Oreochromis niloticus: one gene and its partner. The protein of the gene in region 1 interacts with the protein of each later gene in a pairwise test. Links are inferred from orthologs where the notes say so. Each region holds a gene or a part of one and is shown on either strand. Other genes may lie near its edges. The genes, in order: utp25 and rufy1.

Evidence for each region.
Region 2: the proteins of utp25 (region 1) and rufy1 interact in binary tests that used the Homo sapiens proteins (3 or more experiments, as listed by UniProt). The link is inferred for Oreochromis niloticus from reciprocal best matches to the Homo sapiens genes UTP25 and RUFY1.

Annotation. Positions count from the first base shown.
Region 1 is NC_031983.2:24,834,909-24,844,609, reverse strand, and holds the start of utp25 (U3 small nucleolar RNA-associated protein 25 homolog), read right to left. Parts: upstream 4,584-9,701; 5' UTR 4,504-4,583; coding exon 4,403-4,503; intron 4,340-4,402; exon of another isoform or gene 3,942-4,339; intron 3,338-3,941; coding exon 3,298-3,337; intron 2,002-3,297; coding exon 1,800-2,001; intron 1,717-1,799; coding exon 1,489-1,716; intron 1,331-1,488; coding exon 1,242-1,330; intron 683-1,241; coding exon 272-682; intron 158-271; coding exon 1-157. Other genes in the region: grxcr1b (glutaredoxin domain-containing cysteine-rich protein 1), read left to right, coding at 6,443-6,865, 7,019-7,063. UniProt on the Homo sapiens protein: Component of the ribosomal small subunit processome for the biogenesis of ribosomes, functions in pre-ribosomal RNA (pre-rRNA) processing. Essential for embryonic development in part through the regulation of p53 pathway.
Region 2 is NC_031966.2:28,809,083-28,818,842, forward strand, and holds the start of rufy1 (RUN and FYVE domain-containing protein 1), read right to left. Parts: upstream 3,784-9,760; 5' UTR 3,747-3,783; coding exon 3,413-3,746; intron 3,165-3,412; coding exon 2,985-3,164; intron 2,897-2,984; coding exon 2,779-2,896; intron 2,678-2,778; coding exon 2,576-2,677; intron 2,498-2,575; coding exon 2,374-2,497; intron 2,285-2,373; coding exon 2,223-2,284; intron 2,064-2,222; coding exon 1,928-2,063; intron 1,822-1,927; coding exon 1,720-1,821; intron 1,628-1,719; coding exon 1,511-1,627; intron 1,407-1,510; coding exon 1,239-1,406; intron 1,142-1,238; coding exon 1,044-1,141; intron 958-1,043; coding exon 838-957; intron 623-837; coding exon 493-622; intron 1-492. Other genes in the region: hbegfa (heparin-binding EGF-like growth factor a), read left to right, coding at 8,135-8,177, 8,883-9,131, 9,245-9,443, 9,535-9,687. UniProt on the Homo sapiens protein: Activating adapter involved in cargo sorting from early/recycling endosomes. Regulates retrieval of proteins from endosomes to the trans-Golgi network through interaction with the dynein-dynactin complex.

The DNA of each region.
Region 1 (9,701 bases):
GCAAATTGGGCGGCTTCTCATCCTCGTCCTCTCCAAATTCTTCCTTGAACTTCTTCTTGTTGCTCACCATCACTTTCTTGCTTTTAGTCTCCAGCAGGCTGATGAGCGTATGGATGACCTGCAGCGCACTTCCCCGAAATGGAACGAGGATCAGGACCTGACATATTCATCAGGGCGATGACAGCAGGTTAGCAGATACCCAACAATACTAATATGTAATAAAAAAGAACAAGAACTAGAACAAGAATAAATAAACATTTCTGTGGATTACTTTCGGCCTGGTGAGTCCTTGGTCTCGGAGTTCATCCTGTGGCTCGGCTCCTGCTTTAGTCCGACTTTTCTGCTCTTTCAACTGTGAGTTATGAGCCAGAACCCGAGAATTGGCCTTAAGTACATGGTTAAGCACATGGAGGCAGTATGCACTGCGCACATGTGGTCCCTGCTTGAGAGGGCATGTCTCCGGGAAGTAGAGATCTTTATAGGAGCCCATGAGGGCCAGCAACTCCAGCTGGAGAGGGCTGATCTCTTCGGCCTGCCCTTTATGATTGAAAGTCTGGTTCAGATCCTTCCAGCGTGTCTCCACAAGTTTATGGAAAACTGGGAGCTCTGTGTCTTTCTGGGGGCCGATAGGGCCAAACTTCTCCAGGGGATTGGTGCAAAGCAGAGTTCCCAGCTTTGGCCACTAAGAAAGAGAAAGGCAAAGACTGAAACTTTACACTTTGTAGTATGATAAGAGCGGCACTTCAAGTTCAACTTTTATATTTCAAGTCTTGGTAATATTTCTGGATATTTATATATTAGAGTTATATATATATGTACACACACACACACACACACACATATATACAATAATGGATGCCGATATTAAACATGCCCAGAACATGTGCAAATTGCTCCTGTGAGCCAAAACCTCAGTTTTAGGCTTCTTTTTTTACTTATGGCTCCGTATGACGTCACTGAGAATCACCTCAGGCACATGGCTTGGGACTATAAGCACATAAAAGTCCACCCCTCCTTGCTAATCAAACCCTATGTTTGAGAGGTGGAACCAATCTGAAGAAAGTTGGGGGGGGCCTTAAAGGAGAAGGGGCTAACACGGCTTCTGTCAGACAGAGGATTAAAAATGAGGGGCTGCACCAAGGATCAGCAACATAAAGCTACTCTACGACAAAAAATATGCAGCTGTCGATGAGCATTATAAGTCTCCTTTAATGAAGATGTATTTAATGAGACTGGTGTACCGTAATCTGAGTCTTTGATTTGCAGCCCGACGTTATCTTCTGCACGTCCTCTTCATCAAGCTCTGTGTCCAAATGCTGGACAAACAAGTCTGTAAACCAAGATAAAACTATAAAACACACCATACTCGTATCTAGAGCTGATAAAACAAATGTACAAGACAACATTCAAAAATCAGTTTTTTAAGATACTAAGTAATTATACTAAAGAATTCCAGAGATCTTTTTTCCCCTCCAACCCTTTAAGTACCTTTACTATCTTCATCCCGTGTTTCCTCCTGTTCTCCTTTTCCCGTGAAGTTGGTCTCCAGACAGAACTGGGACTCATGCTCTTTGTCTACAAACTCATCTCCTGGCTCCTTCCTGTCATCCTCCCCATCTCCTGCTTCCATCAAAGCTTCCTCTCCATCTGCAGGTTCTCCTTCTCCCTTTTCATCTTCATCACCACCCTCACTTCCCTCCTCAGCGTCACTCTCATCTGAGATGGAAAAAAACACAAACACATTCAGTGAAATCCAAAGTGGTTGCTGAAATAAAGAACCCTGGAAACAAACAGCTCACCTTCACCAAGAAGCTCCTCTTCATCTTCTTCTTCATTATCATCATCATCTGTGCTGTCCTCCTCTTCGCTCTGAGCTTCACCTCTTGGTTGGCTGAGAGTTGAAAGAAGTTTCTGATAGGCTGTTTTCTGCTCTGGTTCCTCCTCTTCTTCTTCTGGTTCCAGCTCATCGGGCTCTGACTCAGATTGTTCTGGACTTGACGGCTAAAAATAAAAAAAGGTAGCTCATGAATCCATTTATTATCGCTGTGTTGATGCTGTTCCTACATCCTAACGATTATTGCTGCTCACTGAATGTGGCATCATCGATTTGTGTGTAATAGTAAATACTGAACCTAAATCTAACCTCAAAACTGGATCAAATGTGATGGTTTATGCAAGGATGGGGTGTCATAGATATTTAAAAAAAGTATATTACAGATTAATTAAGTAACTATTTATTTACTTACTTTACTGTCTGAAGAAGGTAATTTGATACACTACATTACTTGTTCATTACTTCAGATGTCCTGAGATGGTCGGAATGACAAATTAACAATGTAAACCTTAGGCTAAAGCAGCCACTCCCCAAGTCAAGAGTGTGCGGCCCACTTAAAACACAGAAAATCCGATGGGCCCCACCCAATCTTAAAACTTTACTCTAGTCAAAATACAACAAGAAATATTGTATTTCCTTAAAAAATGTACTCAGAACCCATAAACCATACAGGCTTTTGGTTATACAGTCATATGTGAACACCAACACATCTGCCACTGGGACACAAACCTTAATGCAAATGCAGTAAATTTAGGTCAGAGTAATATCACAAACTACCACCTCCTACTACCAGTTTTATTTCCCTTTTTATATAAATAAATACATTTATACAAGTCTGTAACTGTACATACTAGTAAGCAATTTCAAACTGAATTTCTGTTATTACTCTGGCCCACCTGCAGTTCCTTAGCAGCCCACCAGGGGGGGCCTAGTCCACCCTTTGGGCATCACTACCCTAAAGCTTTGATTTTGTTCCGCAGTCATTCCCGTTACACTTCTTTGAAGACCGCTGCCTGAAGCGCATGCATAGCTGATCACACAAAACAGGGAGGCATGCAGCTGTCCACTAGGACCCTCAGGCTTGCCGTATTACGATGAAATTTACATCAGCCTAACCTGAGCAGACTCATCGATGTGGAAAGTATAATCGAGGCTTCATTGGGACACATAAGCCCAAAGTGGTAAATTAGAAAAAACTTTGAAATTTCATGTATTAGAGGAGCCAAAACAATAAATACCACCTATTATTACATACTTTAAATAAAGCATTAAAGTGCAATACAATGTGGCAAAAACAACGGTCTCAATAAGCTTAAAACTACACAAAAGAAAAGCGCTAAATCAAACAGAAAAATGTGTCCAGACTGTATTTGTAGAAACATATACGGGGAGTCGGGGAAAAAAGCAGACTTTGACAAGGCACACACTTTTCACAGCACTAACGTTTAGGACTTTCTACTCACCAGTTCCATTACTTGAGTTTTTTCAGGTCTTTCATTAACTCTGTAAAAAAAATAGAGAGAGAGAGGAGAGAGAGAGAGAGAGAGAGAGGGAGAATGAAATGAAGCTGCTCAGACAACATATTTGTAAAATTGAATTATTGATATGGAAAGACTGTGATCAATAAGTGGCAGTTTATTATATATATATATATTAACGCATTGTTCTTTTGGCCTGCACCACTGCTTATGTAGATCAGGGATGGCACCAGTGGTGAGAGAGCTGACCCACCAAAGTACAGAATTCAACCCACTGGATGGCTTTCTGAATTAAATGTAAAAACAGCAGAATCTGACATGTCCCACTAGATGTGAGCTCCTCCTGCCGTCCTCATGGAGTCTTATTCTAACAGTTTATCCAGAAAATGAATGAGGTCATCATTTAGAGCTTTGGCGGTGGCTCCTCCTGTTTCTACACACACAGAGGAGCAGATCGCAGTGCTGTAGCGGTGCTGATGCCTTTCTGTGGCTCTGTCCAGCTCTCCTTGTGTAACAGCCCATCTCCTGAGCTACCAGTAAAAAAAGTACCACCAAAAAGCAAAACTATAGAACGATCAGCCAGATGGTATTAGGAGCGAGGCTGTGCTGTTGTTGCCTCTCCGGCGTACCTGCGTCACTTTCCACAAAGCAGGAGAAACTGTTCTGACTGAAGTTAAAGAGTCCCCTTAAAATGCGCCATTCTTCTTCTACTGTTTCGGCTTTACTAGGGGCTTAACTCACTGATAGTTTCTAATATTAAAAATCCACGTCATCAGGTAAACATCAGCACATTGCCCTCCTTAGAAAACGTAAACTTAACATGTTTGCTACATTTCTGTTTGTACTTTACACCGAGATAATACGGGGGGAAAAAAAACTACAGTTACGTTTAAAAAATTGAAAAGAAACTACCCGTGACCCTCTTTTTTAGTGAAATGTATATTAATACAGCCAGGTCTTTGCTGATAACGCATACATATCCGTGCAATAGTTTGAATAAACTGCCATCTGAGTACCAATTAGCAGCCTTGCTAATATAAAGCAGCTTCTTCATTTAAACCAGACCGTAAGTTGCTGTCGTGCTGCTTACACATCGTGAAAAGGATGCTCCTCTCCAAACTCCTTCAAGTGCTTCTTCTGTTTTTTGGATAAAGTAGTTATAAACTGCTTATTCTCCTTTCTTTTGCCCATGTTGACACTCTGGTGCAGGAACACGTGTGGGGTCTGCTTCTTCCTCTTCTTGCTGTGCGCCAGCAGCGGGCGCTTTCTGCCATCTACAGGAGCGGGGTGGAATTACAGACTGGCGGATCGACATTATTTAGAGGGAACTTTATGATCCGCATTATTTGTTTGGCCACGAATTTACCCGATCCCTGGACTGGGATTAACATTAGGAGTACACTCGCTAATAAGTTGCATGAGAAGAATGGAGAAGAAATCAATTAACACTTATTTTCCTTTGATCCTAGCAACACTTGAGTGACTGGAAAGTTGTTTAATACAATAAAAAAAAGCAAAAAACACCCCCCAAAATCTAACAAACACCTGATTGATGAAAAACATGGTTTGATATAAAAACAACTTGCCAGAGAGGCTTTCAGAAGCAAAGATGAGATTTTTGTTACCGCTGATAGTTTAAAGACAAGCAGCTATTCTCGGCAAAAAAACAAACAAACTGCAGTTCTTGTAGTGGCCAATTGAGGCTGGCTCCAAAAGTCGGTGAATCTCCACAGGTTCTAATTCTAAAATAATCAACTTTACAGTCGATGATTACAGCCAAATACCAACAACAATAATAAATAATAATAATAAAAATCCTGGTCTCTGTGGATAGCTTTCCATCTCATTTAATAATAACATAACATTAAAAGAAAACTCACCAGAATCAAAGTTTATTTCTATAGCACATTTTAAAAGACTAGGGTAGATCAAAGTGCTTCATAATAATACCGCAATGCGGGCAGAAACAAGAAACAAATAGTACAATTTCAATTAAAAATTACAATTACATGGTGTAGTGCAGGCCAAGTGAAAGTCAGACTAATTTGCTTCAAAAGCTAAATTGAACAGGTGGGATTTTAAGCGCGATTTGAACGATTGAATAGATTCCGATTCAATCCTATCAACTAGGAGATTATTCTAGAGTCTAGGAGCGGCAATAGCAAAGACACGGTCACCTCTTTTAAACGAGACCTTGGTTGTATTAGGAGCAGTTGGCTGGAGGATCTTAGTGCTCTTTTTGGGTTATACAGGTCAAGGAGATCAGTTAAGTTGCTAGTAACTAACTTGATGGTGGTAAGGCTTAAAGTTTTGCCTCTGGCTCTATTCATTACTTTGTGACACTTAACTGAACCTACTGTGTTTTACTCTGGCAAATAAAATAGCCTGCTGGAAGGTGCAGAGGTTGCAAAAAGTTGGAAATAAAACTAGGACAAGACACAAAGGAAAAGTTAACCTTCAAAATAAAACATGAAGTAACTAAAAGGCAAACACTGAAACTGAAAACAAAGAAACACAACAAAACAAGCTATCACAACAGGAACCAAAATACAAAGCAATAACCTTCCACACTGACAGAAAGGACACACGGTGTATTTATGAGCATGTCATGATTTGTCATGACTCCCACTGCTGACTTGTATCAGCAGTGGAAGCGTGAGTTAGAATACAGCGGTCCTTTTCCAGGTGAGAAAAAGGACCGAAAAGAACAATCTGCCTACTTTGGCTTTCGAGTCTGCGCTCTCGTGATAACCTCGGGGTCAGACAAACAAAATGGGGGTCGCAGTAAAGGTCACCGGAGGTTGTCTGGTGTTTCTTGGGTAATTCATCCTTGTTGCTGGCCCAGTCGACCATAAAGGATCACACACTTCTGTAGCTGTTTGAAAACTAACCTGGATCAATTATTGAACATGGTAATATCAATTTACTGTTTGCCTGTTTTAGCGGTTACCATGGCAGAAGCTCATTAATTATTAACCATCTGGGTATCTAGTTTTTGTACTCAGGGTATTTTCAGCTCATTTTGACACATCAATGAGGATATTATTGTTTGATAATTGCACAGCACAGAGAGAGCGTGTCTGGCTTTTCTGAATGGGATGTAAAACATGTGAGACATTCTTGTATTTCAATGGAGAGGCCAAAACTGAAACAGGAGAACGAGAAGGCTGGGAAAACAGTCAGGTTTAGAGTAGCGTCTGCCAACAGCGGCCGGGTCTTGGCGGAGGTGTTCAAGGATGAGAGAGCCTGGTGCGGCTCGGTGGAGGACTCTGTGGAGTCTGACCCGACCAGCAGCCCGGAGGCAGAGCAGCAGGGCGGCTCTCTCCCCACCAGCGAGGCCAACAGCCACCTGAACGGTTTGGTGGTGGAAGCAGCCGTGGACGAGAATGGCTGTGAACCCGATGACCTGCTTTTGTACGCCAGTGCCAAGAGAGAGATGCTGTTTAGCAACAAGCGGATCAATATCTGCAGCAAGAATGGGACCGTGAGAGGAGTGAGGAACAAAGTGAGCGCAGGCCAAGTGCTTTTCAACAACCTCTCCAACATGTACTCTGTAAGTAGCTCAGTGCATCATCCGAAACAATTTTAAATTAAGCATTATCCTCTTTTATTAACATGTATGAAGTCAGACTGAAAGGTTATGGAATATTTCTGACCATGAAGAGATTTTCATGCACTCATAACTCTTATTTGCTTTTCCTTTTAGGGTTCCCTTCGTCACCAGAAAAGGAGACCCTGGGAAAAGCAGTGAACAGCGTGGGATTTCACACCGTGGGCACATCAGGGAGGAGCAATCCTGAGGATGAAGATTGTCTTACAGCTTTGCCTCCACCCTGAATCCCTTTCAATGACTTCTGTTTCTTCACGTGACGTGGAGTCATTCATGATCCCAGCCTCATATTTACATGTGCCTTCAGGATATTTTTGACCACAAAATTTTTGATTTGACTTCTTGTACAACTTTTCACAGCTGTTTATGGGCAACTAGGAAACAAAACTGGATAGAGGTAATATATGTACATACATTTAACACTACAGACGTTTATTTTATTGCAATTTGGAATTTATTGGCGCTTATTTCATTACAACTTGTTGAAAGTAACAACCTGTCCACATATGATTCTATCCAACAAATCTTAAGTTTTAAAAATGTTCTGGTTTACTGACAGAGAAAATTGTTTTGTGTGAAGAACCAAAGAAGGATTGTCCAAATAAATGTGATTTTGTTCATACAATTTTGTTTTTAACTCCTTTTTGCATTGAAAATGGAAAAAAAGTGATTGTTGAGGATTAAAAGACAGTTTTACTAGAGATTGATGCTTTGTTTGAATCCACCCTGTGGCCTTTCTTTGCGTGTTCTCCCTGAGTCTCTGTGGGTTATTGACTGTAGGCGTGATTGTGGGAATGGTTCTGTGTCTCTGTGTTAGCCCTGCGGCAGACGAGCGACCTGTCAAGGGACCCCACATGCCTTCGAATTGGATATGAGCAGAATAAAATGGATGGATGAACAGCCCTTCAAAAATGATCCACAATTTTCCAACATGTGCTTCATGTGTTTCAGTAAAGATTTAAACCAAACAGCTGAAAAACAATTTTACTAACTGCTCTGAGATTTTGACTGAATTTCTGAGAAGTAGATTGTATTTTTTAAGTTGTGAGTTTATTTTTGACCTAAAATCTGACATGATTTTGATATTTCATGGAGTCTTTCATGTATGAACAGGTCTTTTCTGTTTGTAAAGATTTTGTATTCATTTCTAGATTGAATGTGCTTCATATCATCTTTGACACAAGATTCACACAAATACTGTAAACTGTAAATATAAAAACCTTTATAATAGTTAAATGCATTTTCATACAGCAGATTTTATGCTTGACCGTTTCTGGAAACTCCTGTTAACTACATTTATTATGGACTTATCAAGGTTTTTGAAAACATTTTACATAATATATCATTTACAACATAACTGATGTTATTGGTGGAATTCATGTTTAAAATTAAACAAGCAAATCTGTAAAAATTACTTTTTTACCTACTCTTTGTACCAGACACAAGGAAATGTGACTGTCAAAAATAACACAGGAGGTAACTAAACACAAAGGAAAAGTTAAGAAAAAAGAGAGTCTAAAATAAGTAATCTAAAGCAGAATCCTAACTGAAATAAGCGGAAAGTGTCAACCAAAAATAAATATTAAATAATAAAATTATTTTAAAAATCCACAAATTGAAGAAACTCAAAACTTTTTTGGGCTTTGTGTTTTTGTGGGTTTTATACTTTTGCTGACTTAACAGACTCTTTGACAAAGATGAAAACATGACTATAAATATACAGAGGGCTGATTAGGGAATAGAAAACAGAAGAGGAGGAAATAAAACCCAAAAGAAACGAGCAGAGGAAACTATCAATAAGAAAAAAGGAAATGACCAAACAAGGAGAGATGAAAGAAAGATTCTAAAAATTAATGAACTATTTCAGGAGGGAACATGGCAGGAAAACATCATACAGACCTACACAGGGAGCGGGCAAAACGGAGATTTGTTATAATGGTGGAAAACAAAAACACAGAAATTGGAAAGTCACAGGATCAAAAATCAAAACCCCAAATCACAAAACTGGAAAATTATAAAGTTGAAGACAGGAATCAAAGACTTGATGATGTCTTAAAATCACTAGCAGAATAATAATAACTGAAAAAACAGTTTTAAAAATAAAAGCTCAACTGTATTAAGAATGAAAAACCCTCAAACAACACAAAAGCCCAGACCGTGACTAAAAACCCTGAATCCACGAATCCAAAAACTTAAAAAAAAAAAAAAACCCCTCTACAACAGCACTGAAATCAAAAGTCATGAATAAGGAACAAAACCCTGGGACCATGACACCTTGATCAAGCTGATGAGCCGGCACATTGAGGAGGAACCTTTAAGTGTCATCGGATTACTGAGTTAAAGCGAAAAACTCTGTTTTTCCTTCCCTGCATTGAAAAGCGGTGCAGCTTCACATTTTAAGACTCGCTTAAGGTCGGACTTTCCCTTTAAGTGATTTATGCAACAGCATCTCCCGGTACCTCAGTCTACCTCAGTCAGCACCATGGACAGCGACCCCGCCAGCTCTCCGGCCGCCTCCTGCGCACCCAGCGGGCCCCGAGGGGCAGGGCACGCTCCTTCAGTAACGACGACCAGCTAATACAGCACATCTCCCATCATGTTACTGCGGCACTGACAGCTGAACCGTAGACAGCAGGATGCGGGATTTCCCGTAGAAACACCCCCGCGTATTGTTTTTCTTGTCTTAACCCGTTTCCCAGCAGCTGGAAGGTACAGATGCTCTTTTTTGGCCGATCACCGGCTGTAAATGCCTCTAAACGACAGCAGATGTGACGAGTCT
Region 2 (9,760 bases), on another chromosome or scaffold:
AGTTTGTGTGTTCGCTCAGACACATGAAAAATTAGAGGGAACATTGGACACAAAGGAGTATCTAAAGTTAAAAGAATAGCACCAAACATTCAAAAACATCTCAACACACCCACTGGTAAAACACTGCTCCCTGGTGGTGAAAGGTTTTGCTGCATTTTGAAGGCCATAATTACAAAAAGTAATTTTTAATCAACATAAGAAAAAAAAAAAAAAATCTTATTCTGACTTGCAGCCAATTCAGCTTCATTGCTAGAGTCTAGAAGCGGTCTCTACAAAGCCAATCACACATTTTAATGTTGGCATTGGATTACAGTATTTTATGCCTGTGTGTAAGAGTAATCTTAGCTGCAGCTGTAGGTTGCCTTTCACTTTGAAAATAAAACTTCATTTGTCAAGAGTGTACACATTCTTTTCCATCGCTATAATTCGGCTATTTAGATCCGAGCAAGCGTAACCTGACACATGTTGCGTGTGTGTTTGAGAGATGCTGACCGAGTGCAGGCCCTGGAGCTGCTGCAGCTGTGTGCGCAGTTCGGTGCTGTTGTCCTGCTCCCGCTGGAGAGTTTTTTGCAAGTTCTGTCTCTGTTCCCTCTCACTGCGCAGCTCGTTCTCCAACCCCAGCCTGTGCTCCGACAACACAAAAACGTGACTCTCAAGTCATCAAACTGCAAACTACTGCATGGACTCGGGCTACACAATGTTTAGAAAACTTTTAGAACAAACATTTTAGGTGAATCACATTTGCAACTTTGCCCTTTTATGAACCTTTTCTCTATGTACTGCTTAATACCACATTCAATACCCCCCCTCTCCATGCCCACAATTGCGATTCTTCACCTTAGCGTATCGAGATCTGTTAGCTGTTTCTGCAGAGCATCGACTTTTCCTTGCAGCTCCGCCTTCATGTCTTCGTCTGACTGGTCGTTCTGCTTGCGCTCCTGCTCCGACCTCTGTAGTCTATGAGTCACAAAATATGAAGAGGAGCGTCAATTTAAAGGAATGTAAACGCGAAACTGAATCTCACCCTGGGCAAGCACGCATACCTCTGCTCAAGTTCCTTCATGGTGTTCTCCATTTCATTCATCCTCTGCTCAAGCTGCACGGCCTCTGCCTGCTTTTTTTCTGCTTGGCGGTCCGAGTCCTGAGAAACCACATGAATTGGACAAATGCGCAATCTGTGTGTATGTGTGTGTGTAAGTGCGAAAGACAAAGTCATAATCATGCTCATCTATTTGTACCTGAGCTTTGTGGAACATCTGCACATTGAGAGTCTTGACTTGGTCAAGCTGGAGCCGTAGGGCTGCCAGCGTGTCCTGTTTCTCATGCGTGTCTTTCTCCAGCAGTTTCATGGCCACCTCTATCTCCTGCTTCATTCCCACCTGCAGCTCCAGTTCACGCTCCAGCTCCTAATACACAAGGGAGTCAAATTCAGTTAGAGTTGAGTCAAAACCCCAAAACACCAGGTGTGGAGTGTTGGTTCAAACTGTCCTGGAGGTCACTGATACTTGACCTGGCGAATGCGCTTTTCCTCCTTGTACTGCTTCCACACCACATTGTACATCTCATCCAGGCCTTGTCTAGTCTGTTTGTATGTCTCCAGCTCTGCCTGGCTGTCCTGAAGCACTGCCTGAAAAATAAAAACATGGCATTTTTCATTCCTTCTTAAAATCAGGAGGGGCTTCAGCTGCAATTAGTCCCAGATACTTTTTTTCCCCACACCTCCTCCTTTCTCTGGCTGGACTGCAAGATCGTCTCGTTCTCCTTTTTCAGCTGTTCCTGTTCTTCCCGTAGAGAGTTGATTCTGTCTGTGGCGGCTGTCAGCTGAGGAAAAGGAGAAAAACAAGACACACAGATACCAGCTGACGTTAAAGAGGATCAATCCAGCGCAAACAGAGTCCCACAGCTGCACACACAAAGCACGCCTAACCTCCTCTACGAGCTTGCTGTTAGTCTTCTCTAGAGAGTCCATCTTAGCCTGAAGGTCAGTGACGGTGCCGCTTAGGTGACGATTTAGCTCCTCGATGTAGTGCTTCTGATCCAATATGGCTGTCATCTTCGAATCACTAAGGGAGGAAGCGATACAATCACCATCTTATAGTTGTGAGACATATCTATACAAAAATTTGCAAGGATTTGTTAATACGGGGTCATTCTTTAAACAGTAATAACAATATAGAACAGTCCTGATTAAAATAATAATGTAAAGCAGTGTAGATGCTTACTCTTTTGGAGTCTCATTGCTGGCAGGGTCTTTCAGATAAAGTGAGAAGTCGATGACTGCTACCTAAATGGGAAAGAAGAGCAGATCACTCTGTATCTCGATGCAACTGTTCCTCAGAGTGAAACTGATTCTTACAAAACAGCATCACTAACCTGTGAATCAAGGTCCTCCCCTTTAATGCAAAGGTTAGCATCAATTACGTTGAGGCCCACCAGCAGCCCCACCATTACCGACCCTTCCTCCTCCAACATCAGTGCTCCAGAGTCATAAAACTCACTAAGGGATTTAAAAAGTAAAGTGGATGCTGGGAAGAAACCCATGTTTATAATGCACTATAAAACAAGCGTAACTGACCTCAGGAGGTCTTTGTGGTCCAGCAGGGCCTTCATATAGTCAGCTACTTTCTTCTGCATAAGCGCCAAATGCAGCCAAGCCCTTCCTCTCCCCAAACCGGTCCTAGGAAAAAACAAACAAACAAGAATGACAGTATAAGTGCAATTAAACACAGCTGTGATCTCTATAGTTTTATTATAGAAATATGTTTTTTAATGGCATACTTAATGCCGGGCATGTCTCTGGCACTGGTGGCAATGTTGACAGACTCCGGGCACAACTTTTCTACCAGCTCCAGTGGTCCCCATATAGACTTGTTGTGACCAATGAAGGATTTCTTGGCTGAATCAGACAGCATGCAGAATTAAATTCAGCATGCAGGCAGATAAATATAGCACAACAGCAACAGTCAGATTTATTTACGTCTAACCTTTAAGGCCATGTTTGAGGCAGTGCTCCAGGACAACAAAAAACTGCTGCAGAGGAGGGTACTCTGAGTCAAGCGTCCTGCCCAGACTCATAGAAGACTGAATCAACACTCTGATGCTGAGCTTCAGCATGCTGAGCAGGTTGGATCTTTCTATTGCCATTGAGTCTTTGGGGGGAACAACTGTACAGAAAGCATGAAAAAAAGCAGAAGCTCTGAGGTTAATTCTGTCAGATGACATAGCCGGAAAAACCCCAAACACATTACCAGCCAAGGAGCACTTCACTAACCAAAAAAAACCAAGAGTCTGATCTTGGAGTCATGTGATGTGACAGCTGACACTTAGTCAAGTGTTTAAGTGCCTGTGACAGCTGCAATGTTTCGATCTCCAAGTGCATTAACTAGCAGGCATCAGAAAAATCAAAGTCTACCTGGAAGCTTTTTCGCTGAGTTACTGAGGTCACTTTCGGCCTCATTCTCGGTCGGGGAGCTCGCCGCGGATCCCTGTGAGGGCTTTCTCTGGACAGCAGCGTAGCTGATCCCGCTGCTAATCGTCTCCGTGGCCTTACGAGCCAGAGACAGGAGAGGAGCCGACCAGCTGTTCTCCTCTGCGACCTGGGGAGCCGGCCTCTCGGTCCAGTCCTGCTCGCTGCCACCATCCGGTTCGCCATTAGTCGCTGGTCCTAAAACTTTGGGCTCATCTTGTTCTTGTTTTTCGTCGCGCTCTGTAACAGCTGTGTTTACTTCCCCTGCCTCGTCAGCCATGTTTGCCCTCCCCCCGCCCTCCTTTCGTGTACAAATCACGTGATCGCCTTAGACCAATAACGGACGCTTGTGAGGCCTGACATTCTTTTACTTTTGATTCATTGGCTGCTAGCAAAGCACACTGGAGTTAAATCACTGCCACCTGTTGGATTTGGCTGGAGAGTGGCGGACTGACAAATATCTAATAACTGAAGATCGCGTTTTTATTTATTTTTATTTATTTACAGTCAATGAAATTTTAGTTGTGCCTTTCAGGTTAGTGTGTTAGGTTAGTGTGGTTCACAGGACTTTGAACCACTTAAAAGACACAGCAAAATGTAAAAAAACAAACAACAAAAAACAAATAACATATAATGATTATCAATTTAAAATAAATGAAAAAGGCAATACATCCTAAATAAACATTTTTTAAAAACATGAATGTAGAGACAAATCAAACTGAGAACAAATGAAAAAACAAGTAAGATAATACTAAAATTAAAAAGTAACATAACATAAGTATGTAATACTTGAATGAATGAATGAGAAGGAGACAGATGGAACGATGAAGCTGGAAGGAGCAGAGTGAAGGTGGATAAGTTTAAGCACCTGGATTCAACCATCCAACTTAACAGACAGTGCACAGGAGAGGTGAAGAAGAGAGCGCAGGCAGGGTGAAGCTGGTGGAGGCGATTGTAAGAGAAGCATAAAGTGAAAGGAAAGGTTTACAAGAAGGTAGACCTGCTGTGATTCATGTTTAGACATGGTGGTGCTGACAAAAAGACAGGAGCCAGAACTAAAGATAAAGATTTTCATTCGGAGTGACCAGTATGGACAAATAATTACTTTAGAGAGACACCTCAAGTTGAGTGGTTTGAAGACAAAGTTAGAGAGGCAGGCTGAGACGGTTTGGAGGAGGGATGGTGGAGATACGGGACAAAGGATGCTAAATGCAGCTGCCAGGTAGGAAAGAATAAAAGAGAAAAGAGGAAGACCTTAGAGGAGGTTCGTGGATGTAGTGAAGGAGGAGATGCAGAGGGTTGACAGAGGAGGATGGTAACAATGGAGTGAGATGAGGGCAGATCATTTGGTGTGGTGACCCCTTAGGTGGCAGATGAAAGAAGAAGATGGAGAAGAAGAATAAGTCATGTTACTTGAGATTGAATGGTCATGTCACACAGTGGAAATTTGTATTTATCTATTACATTGGTTTTATTCTGTTTTTTAGTCTTTATTTGTGAGTGTAGTTTTTATTTGCATGATTTTATTCTGTTTGTATTGCATGGTTTTAAGTGGTTTATTTGACATTGTTTTAATCCACTGTGGACTGGCTGGGCATGGGACAAATTAGCTGATAGTGATCACCTGAGACATGGGTGTGTCCAGAGGTGGCCTATCAGCTGTTTAAGGGACCTTTTAAAAGGAAGCTGGCTGGGGATTGGGAGGAGAGAGGCTCCAGATATGAAAAGGAAAGCATGAAGGCCAGGTTTCATCTAAAAAACAAAAAACAAAAGGGACCCGCTGCCTGATCGTGGGGGTGCGACGCCTCATCTGGAGACGGACCGGTAGCGACAGCAGGAACGGCGACAGTAGGAGACAACGCCTGTGATTGACAGCAGGGCACAGGTATGCCTCTGCCTGCATTTGTGAGTAGTGTCTCCACTGTTGTTCACCAGGTGCAGCCGTGTTGGGAGAGGGTCGCCATGGCTATAAGCCAGGGCAGCTTCCAGGACGATGGTTCTGGCCCCTATTTGTTTACAGGGCGATGACGCGAGGAGAGGCGCGATGGCATCGAGCAACGGACTCCAGTGCAGAATGCGAGCTGGGCTGGGAAGTGATGGGCCCAATGAAGGGACGAGAAGGGGATCGGAGGCTCCTCTGGCATGCACGCAGCTCCGCAAGAGGAATTTCTGGCCTGTGAACCCATAACGAACATTCGTCCTGGGTTGTGGGACTGGGTGGGATTTTTAGAGCATACAGAAAATTGCATTTTTACCAGTTTTAGAATTGTTTTATCTAGGCTCGGTGGGAATTTTAGCGTATTGACAACATTTTATTATGTTTTTAGAATTATTTCTCATTCTTGCTCCCTGGCCTGGAAATAAACCGTTTCTGATCAGACCTACATCATCACTGTGCCCTTGGTTTCTGACTCGCTCCACCCCGTGTATTTAAAAGAATCTCTTTAGTATGACATTCTGGCGCACCAGATTCGGTGTCTACAGTCACATCAGAGTTGGTTGATGCCTAAGAATACAAAGGGCAGACAAATTCATTACTCCATACGTGGTGAGCAGCCCACCCTACATGTGACCTCAAAACACACTACAGTGTAGTTAAGCTTTAGCCAAAGAAGCTTTACTATGACGGGAATCGTAAGAATATGCACTTAGTAGTAAAGCCTTAAATCTCTAGAAAACCTGCAGTAGTAATAACACCAAAAGCTGTGATGCTGATGTACTGTGTATCTATTATAATTTTATTTGATGCATTTTGTGTTGCTTTAAATTGACTCCAACTTTAATTATTAATTCTAAGAATGTTAACACAGCCATCCATAAAGTCAGACTATACTTTAATCCAATTGAAGCACTTGTGATATTAACTTATTGATGGTATGTTTTTGCACTTGAGAGCTGAAGGGAGAATTTTACATTGCTATCAAAAGATAATTTTCTAGTGAATAATTGTTACCTCAGAACTGCATGACACCAGTAGTAATAAGATCTACTGGCAGTGAATAAACGTATTAGGAGCTTGCAGTCCTTCCTTTTGCACTTAAATCTACCATTACTCCTCTGTGTAATGTAATGCACTTGCATTTATACAACACTTTTCTAGACTTACTGACCATTCAAAGCAATTTGAACTATACATTTATGCAGCACTTTAAGCTATACACTTACATCCATGGTCGATTTAGAATCATCAGTTAACCCTACAATGGACATTTGTGGACTGCGGAAGAAGCTGGAGTACATGGAGAGAAGTAACACAGACAGGAAGCCCAGGGAACCAAGAACCTTCACATTGTGAGTTGACAGTTTTAACCACCTCACCACCTTGCTCCTCAAATTACCCAAGTCTGTGTAGTTACCTGAAATTAAAAAAAAAAAAAAAAAAGAGGGAAGGCAGGGAGATAACTGAAAAGTACTTGTGTTATCACAAAACTAAGTGAAAATAAAAACACACAGGAAAGGCCTTAAGTTTTAGTCACCTTTGGCATCACAGTGGCCTGATGATGCTTTGTAATCTTTCTTTCTTTAGATTTGGGAGGTCTACAGTATTGTGAACCAGCTGCCCTTCGAGAAGTGGTGTTTGTATTGAAATGTCTGTTGTGAATTTTTGAAAACATGACTAACTGTAAAAAAGTATATCAAAAAGTAAAAAAAAAGTAAATCAAAATTAAACATTTTTCAAATAAACTGAAACAAGTGAAATTAACTGTAACTCTGGAAACTACCTAAACTGAAGCCAATAAGTAAAAACAGCGTTGTGTAATTCTTGACCACGTGGTGGCGCTCACATTTCGTACCCGTTAAAGGCGCTTTTAATACTTAGAGGCAAATGAAGCACATCATCAACAGTTTTTACTGCAGTTGTATATTTTGTCATCTACTACGTTTCCTGTCCTCCTGTTCCTCAGCGTCGCTGTTGAATTATCTTGCTTAAATGTAAGTATGGACTGTTAATGTATCTTACTTAATATTTGGACTTCTGATTCTGTGACACGCATACTTTAAATCTGTGAGTGCTTGAACCGTCGGATTTACCTGGATTAAACACAACCAAACCCTGACGGCACTCAGACAGAAAGCATGAGTCAATATGTACAAAAGGAACCAAGAATTTAGTTTTTTTTTTTTAAAGTTTCAGTTTCCTATTTCTTTTGATTTCCCGACAGTTTTTACATTTTATTTTCTATCTTTGAAAAAAAATCCGCACAAGATTAAGATGATTTTGGATAAAAAAGATTAAGATGATTTTGGATAAAATCATCTTAATCTTGATTTTTTTTATGCCCCCCCCCCCAACACACGCACACTTTCTTTTAGCTTTCATATATTTCACTCGGGAGTACCAACATGATGGGTAATCTGAGTTAAAATACGAATTAATCGGCGCAACCCATGGCCATGGTCAACACCCAGAAGGAGGCGGGGTGATTACCCAGGCTAAAAGGCTCGTGAGCGTCTGTCGCCAGTCTTTCTCGAGAGAAGAAAGCGGCAGCAGGAGCGCGAGGAGAAGAGAGGACTTCTGTTAACAAAAAAATAAAAACCACATAAAAAAACCAAAAGAGAAGGAATACTGAGAGGTGGACGGAATATAACTTTTAGATTTTTTTTTATTTTTTAAGATTTTTTTTTTGTTAATTTAAATAATTTTTCTACTTAAAGCTACTGGAAGCCATGAGGATTTTCGCTGTTGCGCTCTTGCTGGCTCACGTTTTGGGTACGTTTCATGTGTGCTTGTGCAACTTAACCAGTGTTTCTTCTGTGTTCATTAATGGATCACTTAGCGTGTGTGTGTAGTGTCTCTTTCTTGGCTGTCAGTGTAATCCTCTCTATAATAACCGAGCTATAACATGCCGTGTAAACTTAATCTTTTAGGCAACAGTTTTCATGATGCCAGCCTATTCGGGAGCTAATGGGGTCATCTCTCTTATTTTAGAGCATGCTTTATGTAACTGGATACATTTATTTTTAACTCATATTCTTGCCTGACATTAGCTAACTGTCTGCCCATGCATTTTGTGCGTGTGTTATGAGAGACAGAGGGGGGAAGGCTGTGTGCCAGGCCGATATCTCAATGTCCACGAATTTGAGGACATGGTTTTGGCGTCTTTTTGAGTGCATCCTGAGCTGGGCATTGACTCAATCAATCCCTAAGGACAGTGTCTGATCCGGTGTATTTCCTAAGAGAGAGCAGCAGCTTAATTACTGCATCCCTAAAAAATCCTGCCTGAAGCTTCTTCCTGCACAACATGTTTCAACTTGCCCAAGAAGGTCCACCCACCTTGGTGCACTAACCTGTCTGCTGGTTGTCCCCTAGAGGAAGAGTTTTCTGATTGTGTTTTTGTTATTTGTTTGTTTTTTGTGGCATATATATGTTCAAAGCAGACCTCATTCATAACATTTGATTTTCCTGCTCCTTCAGTGATGTCCAGACTGGCCAGCGGTGCTGCAGTAGACCGTTACGACAGCAACAAGCAGCGGCACACCTCTGTTATCAGCCTCCTGGACACAACCAGAGACAGGAGAGCAGAGGAGGAGAACCGGGGCGTGAGGACCACAACAGCAGATTACAGCAAGGACGGCGAGGCGGAGGAGTATGATGATGACTACTACTATTATGAAGAGTATGAAGATGGCACGTCTGGAGACTATGAACTGCAACTGCCAAGAGGTAAGGCACTTAAAAAAATGTCTTAAATGTTGCATTGGTGCTTTTACGTGGCTTGTAACAAAGACAGCACATGTAATTGTTGGTCTTGTTTGTTTTTTTTTTTGTCACTTTAGTTGCCATGTCAAGCAAACCCAAAGATCCTTCTACCATCCTGGAGGCTGAAAACACTGAGGGAAAAACAACGAGAGGAAAGGGAAAGAAGAAGGGGAAAGGAAAGGGAAGGAAGAGGAATCCTTGCCTGAAGAAGTACAAAGATTACTGCATTCACGGGACCTGCACTTACCTGAGAGACCTCCGTGAACCATCATGCGTGTGAGTATTTAGCTCTCTGTTTACCTGCACGTCATGCGCACCTCAAGTCGATCAATTATTAACCGTTTTCCCCTCACCGTCCTCTTCGCAGGTGCCACCATAATTACTCCGGCGATAGGTGTCAGTTTATCCTGCTGCCATCGCAGTCCCGAGAGGGCTACAACCGCACCACAGCTCTGGCCGTGGTGGCCGTGGTGCTGTCGTCTCTGTGCCTCACCATCATTGGACTTTTATTAATGCTCAGGTGAGCGAAACACACGCCCGGCACGCACTCGCAGCCATGCACAGGTTAGGAGCTTAGCTAATAATGAGGCGAT